2 linked regions of the Oryctolagus cuniculus genome follow. The protein of the gene in region 1 purifies or fractionates together with the protein of each later gene. This does not show direct contact. Links are inferred from orthologs where the notes say so. Each region holds a gene or a part of one and is shown on either strand. Other genes may lie near its edges.

What was found. The genes of interacting proteins can lie anywhere in the genome.
Region 2: the proteins of STRADB (region 1) and CAB39 purify together in Homo sapiens (affinity purification with mass spectrometry; 3 studies listed by BioGRID and IntAct, counting the BioPlex papers as one, with this or other methods). This does not show direct contact. The link is inferred for Oryctolagus cuniculus from reciprocal best matches to the Homo sapiens genes STRADB and CAB39.

Annotation. Positions count from the first base shown.
Region 1 is NC_091434.1:38,532,260-38,537,393, reverse strand, and holds the end of STRADB (STE20-related kinase adapter protein beta), read left to right. Parts: intron 1-41; coding exon 42-146; intron 147-315; coding exon 316-560; intron 561-2,234; coding exon 2,235-2,277; intron 2,278-2,768; coding exon 2,769-2,912; 3' UTR 2,913-3,603; downstream 3,604-5,134. UniProt on the Homo sapiens protein: Pseudokinase which, in complex with CAB39/MO25 (CAB39/MO25alpha or CAB39L/MO25beta), binds to and activates STK11/LKB1.
Region 2 is NC_091434.1:8,330,489-8,336,678, reverse strand, and holds part of CAB39 (calcium-binding protein 39), read left to right. Parts: intron 1-1,183; coding exon 1,184-1,249; intron 1,250-3,240; coding exon 3,241-3,384; intron 3,385-5,154; coding exon 5,155-5,343; 3' UTR 5,344-6,190. UniProt on the Homo sapiens protein: Component of a complex that binds and activates STK11/LKB1. In the complex, required to stabilize the interaction between CAB39/MO25 (CAB39/MO25alpha or CAB39L/MO25beta) and STK11/LKB1.

The DNA of each region.
Region 1 (5,134 bases):
GTTACTGCCACTAAGGAACACCACGTTAATTGTATTTGCAGGATTTGCATGGATATAATGTGAAGTCAGATATTTACAGTGTTGGCATTACAGCATGTGAATTAGCCAGTGGCCAGGTACCTTTCCAGGACATGCACAGGACTCAGGTACGTGCCGCTGAAATCCCTGAACCGCTTGGCCTTGCATAAGAGCTCTTTCATTCCAGATCATTCCTGTCAGTCGTGGCTGCTCTAGACTCTTAGGAACTTTATTGCTATTATTTTTTATTTGAAATTTTGCCTGCAGAGAATTGAAGGAAATTCTTCTTTCTTTTAGATGCTGTTACAGAAACTGAAAGGTCCTCCTTACAGCCCACTGGATGTCAGTATTTTCCCCCAGTCAGACTCCAGAATGAGAAGTTCACGTTCAGGTGTAGACTCTGGGATTGGAGAAAGCGTGCTTGTGTCCAGTGGGACGCACACTGTGAACAGTGACCGGCTGCACACACCAGCCTCAAAAACCTTCTCTCCGGCTTTCTTTAGCTTGGTACAGCTCTGTTTGCAACAAGATCCTGAGAAAAGGTAATACCGGTCACTCCTAAGCAGCATAAACTGTGCATGTTTTATGTTTTACAGGAGCTTTGTGGTGTTTCCCTCCCCACAAAATGCAAATGTTTTATCCTTTGACCAAAAAAGTCAAGTCTAAAACAGAAAATAATGATGCTAAGAACAAGTAGAGGGGGCTAGTGCTGTGGCACAGTAAAGCCACTGCCTGCAACGCCAGCTTCCCAAATGGGTGCCAGGTCGTGTCCTGGCTGCTCCACTTCCGATCCTCAAGTTCCTGGGTCCCTGCACCCCCATGGGAAACCTGGATGCAACTACTGGTTCCTGGCTGCAGCCTGGCCTATTGCTGGCTGTGTGGCCATCTGGGGAGTGAACAAGCAAATTGAAGATCTCTCTCTCTCTCTCTGTAACTCTGACTTTCAATAAAATAAATCTTTTTTAAAAAAATAAAAGGAACAAGTAGAGGTAGTAAGCAAATGAAAGAACACTGGATTGAAAATCAGAAGAGTTGGGGCTGGCATTGTGACATAGAGGGTAAGGCCGCCGCCTGCAGTGCCGGTATCCCATATGGGTGCTGGTTCGAGTCCTGGCTGCTCCACTTCTGATCCAGCTCTCTGCTATGGCCTGGGAAAGCAGCAGAAGATGGCCCAAGTGCTTGGGCCCCTACACCCATGTGGGAGACCTGGAGGAAGCTCCAGGCTCCCAGCTTCGGGTTGGCTCAGCTCCAGCCGTTGTGGCTATTTGGGGAGTAATTCAGTGGTTGGGAAGACCTTCCTCTCTCTCTCTCTCTGCCTCTGCCTCTGCCTCTCTGTAACTCTCTGCCTTTCAAATAATAAGTAAATAAATCTTTAAAAAAAAAAAATCAGAAGAGTTGGTCACCAGTTTCAGCCTTACCATTTCCTAGCCTAGTCTCACCTTGTAAAAATCAGCTAGTCTTTCTGAATATTAATTATTGTACTTGCATTAATCCATTTTAGAAATGTATTAGCAGTATAAAATGTAAGTAGCTGCTTCCATACTAATATAAATTATTACCATAGATAACTATATATTAGCATTAGTATTTTGGAAACAAGGTGTGTGTCTTTTTTAAGATTTATTTATTTATTTGAAAGTCAGAGTTACACAGAGAGAAGGAAAGGCAGAGAGAGAGAGTCTTGCATCCACTGGTTCACTCCCCAATTGGCCACAACGGCCAGAGCTGCACCGATCCAAAGCCAGGAGCCAGGAGCCTCCTCCAGGTCTCCTACGTGGGTGCAGGATCCCAAGGACTTGGGCCGTCTTCTACTGCTTTCCCAGGCCATAGCAGAGATCAGGATTGGAAGTGGAACAGCCAGGACTTGAACCAGTGCCCATATGGGATGCCAACACTGCAGGCAGCGGCCTTACTCACTATGCCAGAGCACCGGCCCCAAGGTGTATCTTAATTACCATTTTTAACCCCAAAGTGCCAGGCATAATTTCTTATAAATAGTATGTGTTCAATAAATATTCAGTATGGATTAACTGAAGGACACCTCTAGAACTAATTCTTTCCATTTGTCAAAGTTGGAGCCAAGATTTGAGCTTCTGACATAATTTCTTTTTCAGTATTTTAGTGTTGGACTTTATAGTTCCTAACTTAACTTCTACTATTATACATTCCAATTTGAGGGTCTAGTTTTTGTAATTTTTTTTTCTTCTAAATTTCAGGCCATCAGCAAGCAGTTTATTGTCTCACGTATTCTTCAAACAGGTGAGCTGATCTGTCCTCTGTTGTCTAGGTGTTTTCAAATACTATTAAAAAATCCATTCCATGTTGTTGGTTTAATGGGATACTTTGGTTACCAAGAATCATGCTATTAACTTACAAAAATAATGTTAAAAAGCAGAAAAGTTTTTGGTAGTTTAATTACAGACTTTTTGAAAGATAGCCGTCCTGTAAAACAAAATTGAGTGAAACAAACCGGACCATAATCCCTGCCACTACATGCTCAGCCTTGGTTTTGATTAGTGACTCCTTCTATATTGGCTACACATGACGAAGGGCAAACTATATCTGATAAAAATCCATTTATTTGGCTTCTCTTCCTGTTTTCAGGTAACCAGAATCAAAGGCATTTTTAGGAAAAATGCTTAAAAACTATATAAATACTTTAAACATAATTTCTTTAGAAGTTACTTATTGCTAACGAAACTGATGTATTAAATTTGTACCAAGAGCCTTATTTTGAATTTCTTTAACAGATGAAAGAAGAAAGCCAGGACTCCATCCTGTCACTGCTGCCTCCTGCCTCTGCCAAGCCGTCAGCAGCACCGCCTCCAGTGTCACCTTGGACTGAGCCAGAGTGTGCTTTCCCTGATGAAAAAGACTCGGACTGGGAGTTCTAGGGCTGCCAAATCACTTCACGTCCGATATACTTGACACCCTCTTCTTGCTGCTTTTATTCTGCATTGCTAGGTACAAATGCCAGAATTATACTTGAAAACACAGTTGGTGCACTGGAGAATCTCATTTCAAACCACTCTGTTCACAGGGGCGTGAGTGTGGAGTTCCCTGGCCTAGCTCAGACTGCTCTCACCACCCCAGGGAAACATCTGGATGATCAATCTAGCTACAGTCAGTGTCATCGATTCTTACATTTTCTCCCCAAGCTGTGACTAACTCATCTTTTCATCTCTCTCTCGTTTTTGAGCCAGTTGAGTTTTTTGGCATTTTGCTCTTCTCTTGGGATTGAGCCCTCCTAGGACAGGACTTCCAAGTACATCTGATCTTTCTTTCAGGTTCTCTAGCCTTTTGAACCAGCTATTGTTAACCAACAGGCTAGTTTATCCTGGTACCAAATGCCTCTTTGGTAGACAGGGAAATGTTTATAGTTTCCCTTTTTTCTATTAATACTTATATGACATCAAACTGAGCCTCACTCAAAATAAATGATTCACTTGAACTATATACAGAAGTCATAATTTGCTTTTTTTAAATAAAGAAGGTGGCTACATAAGGTAACCCTTTTCTACCTTGTAAATTTTAGATCCTAAATTCATGCACCCTGTGGGAGCTCAATAAAGATTGTTGACTTGAGTTTGTGCTTCTATTTATTTTCCTAATGTGATCTGGCAAAGATCAAACACAGGTTCTCTGTTTGTTTTGCCAGGAAGCCCTTCCTCCAGCAGACTTCTAACTTGTTAGCTGAGGACTACTGGGGACTTGATCCAGTGAAGGCCTGCCTGTTCTGATCCTTTATATGATCATTGCTCTTGGGGGGTTACAACACAGAGGGTGCGGGTCTTCATGATATTTCCTTGTTAGCCAAAGAGAGAGGCCGTGTCTCAAAAAGGGCATGTGGGTGAACTGTGCTACACTGGAACCTATGTCAACTGACTTTCTTAACTGTACGGTCTTTCTCACATTATAGTAAAGGTTATTTTAAAATGGTGTCTTTAAACCAAAAGGGCAGTCTACAAGTTAATGGGCAATTGAAGGCACAGTCCTTTTCATGTTCATGGGCTGGACCTCCTCAAGAATGAAGGTTTGGGTTACTCTGCCAGGGCAGCCACGAAGACCTGCCAGGGTGAAAGGCGAAGGTGAATTTGGAATGGATAGTGACGGAGAAGGGGAGGGGACCGGTTGAGGCCCTCGGAGCAGCTGCAGTGGTCAAGCCTGGAACGAAGCTCCGCCTTGCAGCACGATTTCCCCTCCGCAAGACGAGCCCACCTCGGAAGCCATGAAACAGGGCCTCTCACATCTCTGGCTGGGGCTTTATTAAGTCCAATGTGTGCACAAACATTTCCTGTAAGCAGCTGGTCCTAAGGTCTGGGGGAGACCCAGGAGGGCTGCTGGTGCGGTTAGAGTCCAAAGGGCATCAGGCCCAAGATCTAAGAGTTGATTTGTTAATTTGTGTCCAAAGGCAGGGAAAAGTTCAAACCGAGTCAGGAGGGGAAATTCTGACTTGAGGGCGGGTGAGCCTTTTTGTTCTGGTCAAGTCTTCGACTGAGTGGATGGACTCTCCCCACACTAGGAGGCAATCTGCTTTACTCCGTCCACCCCTTGAAAGTTTTGCAGAAGCTCCTTCACACAGAAACACCCAGAACAGTGGTCAACCGAATAGCTGAGTGCCCTGAAGCCCAGCAGAGTGGATGCATAAAATCACCCGTGCCAGTGGGCACTGTGACGGACTGCGAGCCTGAGCCTGTGAGCGCTGCCTTAGACTTTGTGCCATAGCGCCTCCCCTGCTGTATTAGCTTTGCACGGCTGGTGTAACACTGCCACAAACTTCAGTGGCTGAACGCAACACCAAATTGTCGGTTCATGGTTCTGTAGTCCGGAAGTCTGAAATGGGTCTCACAAGGGTAAGATCAAGGTGCTGGCAGGGCTGCGTTCCTCTGGGGGCTCTGAGGACAATCCATGGCCCTGCCCTTCCCAGGATTCCAAGGCTATGCACCTCCTCAGCCCATGGTGCTCCAGTCCAGCACTGTTGGGCTGTGTCCTCATATTGCCATCTCCCTGGTTCTATCTTCCTGTTCCCTCTTTACTTTTTATGAGCCCTTTTTGATCCTATTGGGCATAGCCAAATACTCCAGGATACCCTCCTTGTCTGCAGTCATTTAACAGC
Region 2 (6,190 bases), about 30 Mb from region 1:
GTTGAGTGTGCCCCCACGGAGCTCCATAGGATAGCATCCCTGGCGACCAAGGGGCAGCAGAAAACCTGCGTTTTCCGTCAGGAACTTGAAATAGGTGTATTTTGTGTTGCCCGTTGAAGGCAGAGCCGATTATTTGGAGCATCAGTTTGATGACCATTTGAGAAGCTCCAGCTTGCTAGCACGTTGGGCAGCCTCCTGTCCTCCACGTGGAAGTGGTATACAGCAGCTCTGGGCGAAAGATATAAGCAAATCCATTTACAACAAACAAAGAGCTGTGGGCCAGTGAGGACCGTTTATAAAAACAGCAGGGCGAGGTCTGGCACACGGACCCCAGCTTGTCACTCCCTGCTGTGTATCACAGATGGATGGCAGATGAGGACCCGTCCTGACACATCAGCACAGATACTTTTCACGGGGACAGGTGACAAAGCAGCGTCCCCCAGGACCTGCCACCTGCACGAAAAGTCACAGCTCTGCAATCTTGGAACATCTCCAACTCATCCTCGCCCAGACACACATGTATACACACACATGTATACACACACACACTGACACATGCCAACACACATGTATACACACACTGACACACGTCCACACACATGCATATACACTGACACATGCCAACACACATGTATACAGACACACACACACACACATTGAGGGGGAAGCTTCATGAAGGTCATGGAAATGCACATTATCTTGTGTGTGTGTGTGTGTATGTGTGTGTGAGTGAGTGAGTGTGTGAGGCAGGGAGAAGGCTCCCATCTGCTGATTCACCTTCCCAATGCCCTCAGTGATGCTCTCCAGACTCAGATTGAGTTTGGGGTTCCTGGCTGTGGCCTGGCCCAACCCCAGCTGTTGCAGGCATTTGGGGAATGAGCTAGCAAATCGATGATCTCTGTGTGCCTCTGCCTTTTAAATAAATTTAAAAAGAAAAAGAGCTGATGTGAAGTCTGGGGTGACAACACTGGATCTGCACTAGGACCTAGCTGGTGCCAAGAGAAGATGGTCCAAGGGCCCTTTCCACAGGTGACCATCGGGCATCACCTGGGGCTCCCTGAGCGTGAGAGGACAGGGGAGCTGGGGCAGCCGCTGGCCTATATGGTGTTAAATGTTTGTATTTGAATTTTATAATGTTAGCTGCCAGTCTTTAATAACACTGATAAATGTTTTCTTGTCTTAGTTTTTCAGTGAATATGAGAAATTACTCCATTCAGAAAATTATGTGACAAAGAGACAGTCACTCAAGGTACGAGAGATTATTTTGTGCAGTTTATTTCTCTTCACACATGTTTGGCATTTGGCCTTGTGGAAAGGGAATGGGCTGGCATGGGCTGGAACACACGTGTCTCTGGCCAGGGTCTCCACAGAAAGCAGTGGGCTCAGCAGCACTGCATGTGCCCAGCCCCTTGTATGCAGAGACCCCACAGGCAGTGGGCATAGACTTGAGGCTGGGATTCACATGAACTAAATAAGCATTCAGCGCGGCTGTGGCTCGTGGACAGCTCTGGCTGCTGCGTGTCAAATCCGAGATGGACAGGTCCTTCAGGAACTTAAAAATGTCACAATTAGGATGTAAACTCTAGAACAGATTGACAAACAACAGGCCGTGGCCCAAGTGCAGCCAGTGCCCATGTTTGTAAATAAAGTCATGCAGGAACGCAGACATAGCCGTTGATTTCTCTGTTGTCCACGGCTGCTCCAGGTGTGACAGCATATTTGAATGGCTTGCGAAGGCTAAAGTATTTACTCACCGGCCCTTTACAGTTTGCTGACCCCTGCTCCAGAAAATTCTTAGGCTAGTTAATGAAAGCCTGCGCCCCATTCTGTCAGTGCGTGGGCCCAACAGGAACTGCCATGGGAATCATGAAGGGTTCACGGGGGCGCATGCTTGTGTGTGCCACCGGCCAGGTTCGTCATACCTTCTGCTCTGCTCAGATCTTCCCCTCCGAGGTCTGGAGTTCATGTCGATGAGGGCCCTATGCCTGCCTTCCCCATCCCACCCTGAGGAGAAGGCCCCCGAGGACTGTCTTCCCTGGAAAGACAGTGAAGGGCATCAGGAGCCTTCGACAGCAATGCTGTCTGCTGACCCTGCGGTCGCTGCGCAAGTCGCCCGCTCAGCGCCTGCCAGGACTGCTCTCGCCCAGGCCATCTCAGTCAGTGCTGAGGGTCCTGATCTCAGCCTGGGCCCCAGCCCCAGGGCTTCCGACTTGACCATGACTCTGATGGTGCGTGAGGACCCTCCCACCTCAGTGTTCTGCAGAACTCTGGGAGCTGCTGGAGGCACTTCCTCCCTGCACATCCATGCGACAGGAGGACACCTCAGTGTCCTTGCTCCTCTGACTCGGCCCCAAAGGGCCAGGGCATAGTGCTCTTCCCCAGCGTTCTGAGACAGCAGCCAGACAGGACTGCCAGGACAGCAGCACCTCCTTGTGGTGTGCGAGAGCAGAGGGTGGCCATGTTTCACAAATCGATAAACTGTGACCAAATTGCAGCTCGTTGGTTAAGGAGAAAGGCTTTCAGAATTACCAGCATGAAAAGGAGGTGGCCACTCCACCTGTGCACCCTGGGCGTAGACACAAAGCAGGTCGTCTTTTGTCAGTAGCTGGTTCCCTGCCTGAGACTTTCAGTTCTTCAATTTTGTGTCTAAAGAAATTGAAGAACTACCAGTCCTTCAGGGACCTGGGGCTCAGTGAAGTGAGCCGTTGGCAGGCCTCCTCTGATAACACGATGTCAGGCTGCTTAGCTAGAAGTCAGCCACCTGGGGACTTCAGATGGGTAGAAGGCAGCCAGGAGCAGCGGAGCCACGGCACAGCAGCTGTGCGTGGGCGCTTCTCCCGCAGACCCCCGCCTCTTCCTCTCAGGCCTGCCGTGCCCCTTGTACATGCGCACACTTTGGTCACCCACGGCGCTGTCTTGAGATGCAGGCACCTTTTATCCACTCCCAGTGCACAGATGAGAAACTGAGGCACGGGAAAGTTAAACAACATGCTCAGGGCTACAGCGCTGACAAGGAGTAGGGAGCCAGATCCGAGGCCAGGCCAGCTTTGCCCAGGGCCCCCATCCCCAGGCGCCGCACAACGCCTGCTCCTCCCACCGGCCTCGCAGCCTGTGGCTCTCACAGCCACTGCAGTTCGCCAGTCCTCCGAGTCCCTGCTCATATATGCTTACTAAAGGTGTTACAAGATGTTTGTTTCTTTAAATCCTAATGTAAGGATGATTGTTTAAATGTCTTCGCAGCTTCTCGGTGAACTACTGTTAGATAGACACAACTTCACAATTATGACGAAATACATCAGTAAACCTGAGAACCTCAAGTTAATGATGAACCTTCTGCGAGACAAAAGTCGCAACATCCAGTTTGAGGCCTTTCACGTTTTTAAGGTAGAGTACGAAGACGAAGCCTTCATCCAGAGCTGCTCAGTGCGCTTCAAACAGATTGCGGGGTGTTGCCCTCACTCTGGTCGTCTGAGTGATGGAGTTCCGTGTCGTCAGTGTTCATGTTCGTGTGGTGTATGTAACATTTAAGCAGAAAGATCTAGAAATGTGGGATACTGAATTTGAGTGCAAGAAAGTTTATCTTCCACATTAGAGGATTGCTTATCACAAAGTGAACCATTTCTTCTTTTTTAATTTTTTTAAGTTTTTATTTACTTGAAAGGCATAGTTAAAAGGGGAGGGGGAAAGAGAGACAGAGATTCCATCCACTGATTCATTCCCTAAGTGGCTGCAGCATGCGGGGCTGGGCCAAGCCAAAGCCAGGAGCCAGGAGCTGCATCCAGGTCTCCTACCTGGGTGGCAGGGCCTTGCCGTTGCTCTCCCAGCTACATTAACAGGAAGCCGGATTAGAAGTGGGACAGCCAGGACTCGGACCAGCAGCCACATGGACCTGCACTGTGGGCAGCAGCTTAACCCACCGTGTCACAATGCTGGCCCCAAAGCAAAACCACTTCTTAGTGGTTTTGTAGACGCTAGTTTTCTTCCTTCCTTCTCCCCTTCCGTAAGATAGAGAAGGTTCCTGTTGCTGGCTCACCCCCCAGATGCCTGCGACAGCAGGGCTAGGCCAGGACCCCAAGCCAGGACTTCCAGGTAGGCGGCAGGAACCCATTACTCGAGCCATCATTGGTCTGCATTAGCAGAAAAGCTGGAGTCAGCCAGAGCCAGGAGTTAGATGCAGGCACCTTAACAACTTGGCCAAATGCCTGCGCCCTGGGGTTTTTATCCCCTCCCCTACCCCTCTGTTGTTTTTTTTTTTTTTTCTTTGAAGCTTTTTATTTATTTGAAAGGCAGAGGGACATACAGATCTCCCATCCACTGGTTCATTCCCCATATGACCGCAGCAGCCAGGGTTGGGCCCAGCCCCACTAAAGCCAAGTCAGGAATTCAGTCCTGGTCTCCACCATGGGTCACAAGAGGCCAACTCCCTAAGCCGTTCCCTGCTGCCTCCTGGGGTGCACTTCAGCAGGAAGCTGGAATCGAGAGCAGAGCCAGCACTCATCCCCAAGCACTGTGAGATGGGATGCCAGTACACCGGCCGGCGTCTTAACCACTGCACCCCACACACGTCCACCCCTTGGATCTTGGTCTTAAAATCTGGGGTCTGTACTGTGGCACAGGGGGTTAAGCCCCTGTCTGCAATGCTAGCATCCTGTATTGGAGCACCAGTTCAGGTCCCAGCTGTTCCACTTCCCATCCAGCTGCCTGCTAAGGCACCTGGGAAAACAGCAGGGGATAGCCTGAGTACTTGGCCCCTGCCACTCACACGGAGACCTGGATGGAAGTCTGGGCTCCTGGCTTCATTCTGCCCTGCCCCAGCCATTGAGGCCATCTGGGGAGTGAACCAGCAGGTGGAAGATCAAGCCCTCTCTCGCTCAGCCTTTCAAGTAAAAGAAAAGAAGCATCCAGTTAGCCCTCCCGTGCCCAGGAATTATTTCTGCTCATTTTATTCTGCAGTGCACATCTGTAGTCAGCACCAACCACTGTTTCAGGCTAGCGGGATGAGCTAGTCCACTCTTCCTGTGCTAAAACATTGAACGTTTTTTCTCCAAGTTGTAAAATCAGAGCTTCTGAAGCAAAGTCTAATTCCCTGATGTCCCGCCTGCCCCGGGAGGGCACCGCTCTGTGCTGTGAGTGACGCGGCCTCTCCCTGTGCAGGTGTTTGTCGCCAACCCGAACAAGACGCAGCCCATCCTGGACATCCTGCTCAAGAACCAGACCAAGCTCATCGAGTTCCTCAGCAGGTTCCAGAACGACAGGACGGAGGACGAGCAGTTCAACGACGAGAAGACCTACTTGGTCAAACAGATCAGGGATCTGAAGAGACCGGCCCAGCAAGAAGCCTGATTTCCAGTAACCCTCAATGTTAAATGCAAGTTCAGCACCTGCTGTTAGCTGTTCAGCGTCAGGCACTCTTCCCGATCCATGAGGAACATTACTGCTAATCTGCTGTTAAGTGAACGGTTTTCGTTTGACCTTTCTGTTCTTAGTCCAGGTTGGAGCGCGTAGCTGCTGCTGCTTGCACACTAGAGCACACGTGGGCTTTTCCTTGATCTTTGTGTCATTTCAGAGCTCAAAGACTCCACTGCTGTGGGAGTGCTGGACACAGCTGGCTTCCTGGAGGCCAGCACGCAGCCGAGGGTGGCTAGGGGGGCGGGCGCCGACCCCGTCCACCTAGACCTGTGTGTAGGCATTGCCCTGTGGAAGACAGCGTGCGGCATGGCGCGCGCACCTGACCCTCACGGCAGCTCCTGGGCCTTCGCCGAAGGAAGTCAGGGGAGCCCTGTCCCAGGCGGGAGGCTCTGGGGAGGATGAAGGTGGTGTGCGAATAAATTGATACACTTAGCAACTTCTCACAGTGTGAAGCTTCCTGGGGTCACGAGGGAAGTGTACATATGCTTTTCACGGCTTTCTAGGGTTTCTGACATTGGTTTTCTTGAGACTTGTAAACCTGGATATGTTGAGGGTATTTGTTGATTTTACTTTTTGCAGGTATTTTAAAACAGTAGAGCTAGCAACAACACCTTGCATTTCATTTCAACACTGCTCACAGGTTTCTTTTGTATATAATTCTTAGAATGCTCATTTCTTTTAAATGGTTTAATTTGTACAGCAGAGGAATGTTATTGTAGTAGTATGTAACTATTACCTAATACTGAGTTTTTGCAAAAAAATGAATGCTCATATGTAATTG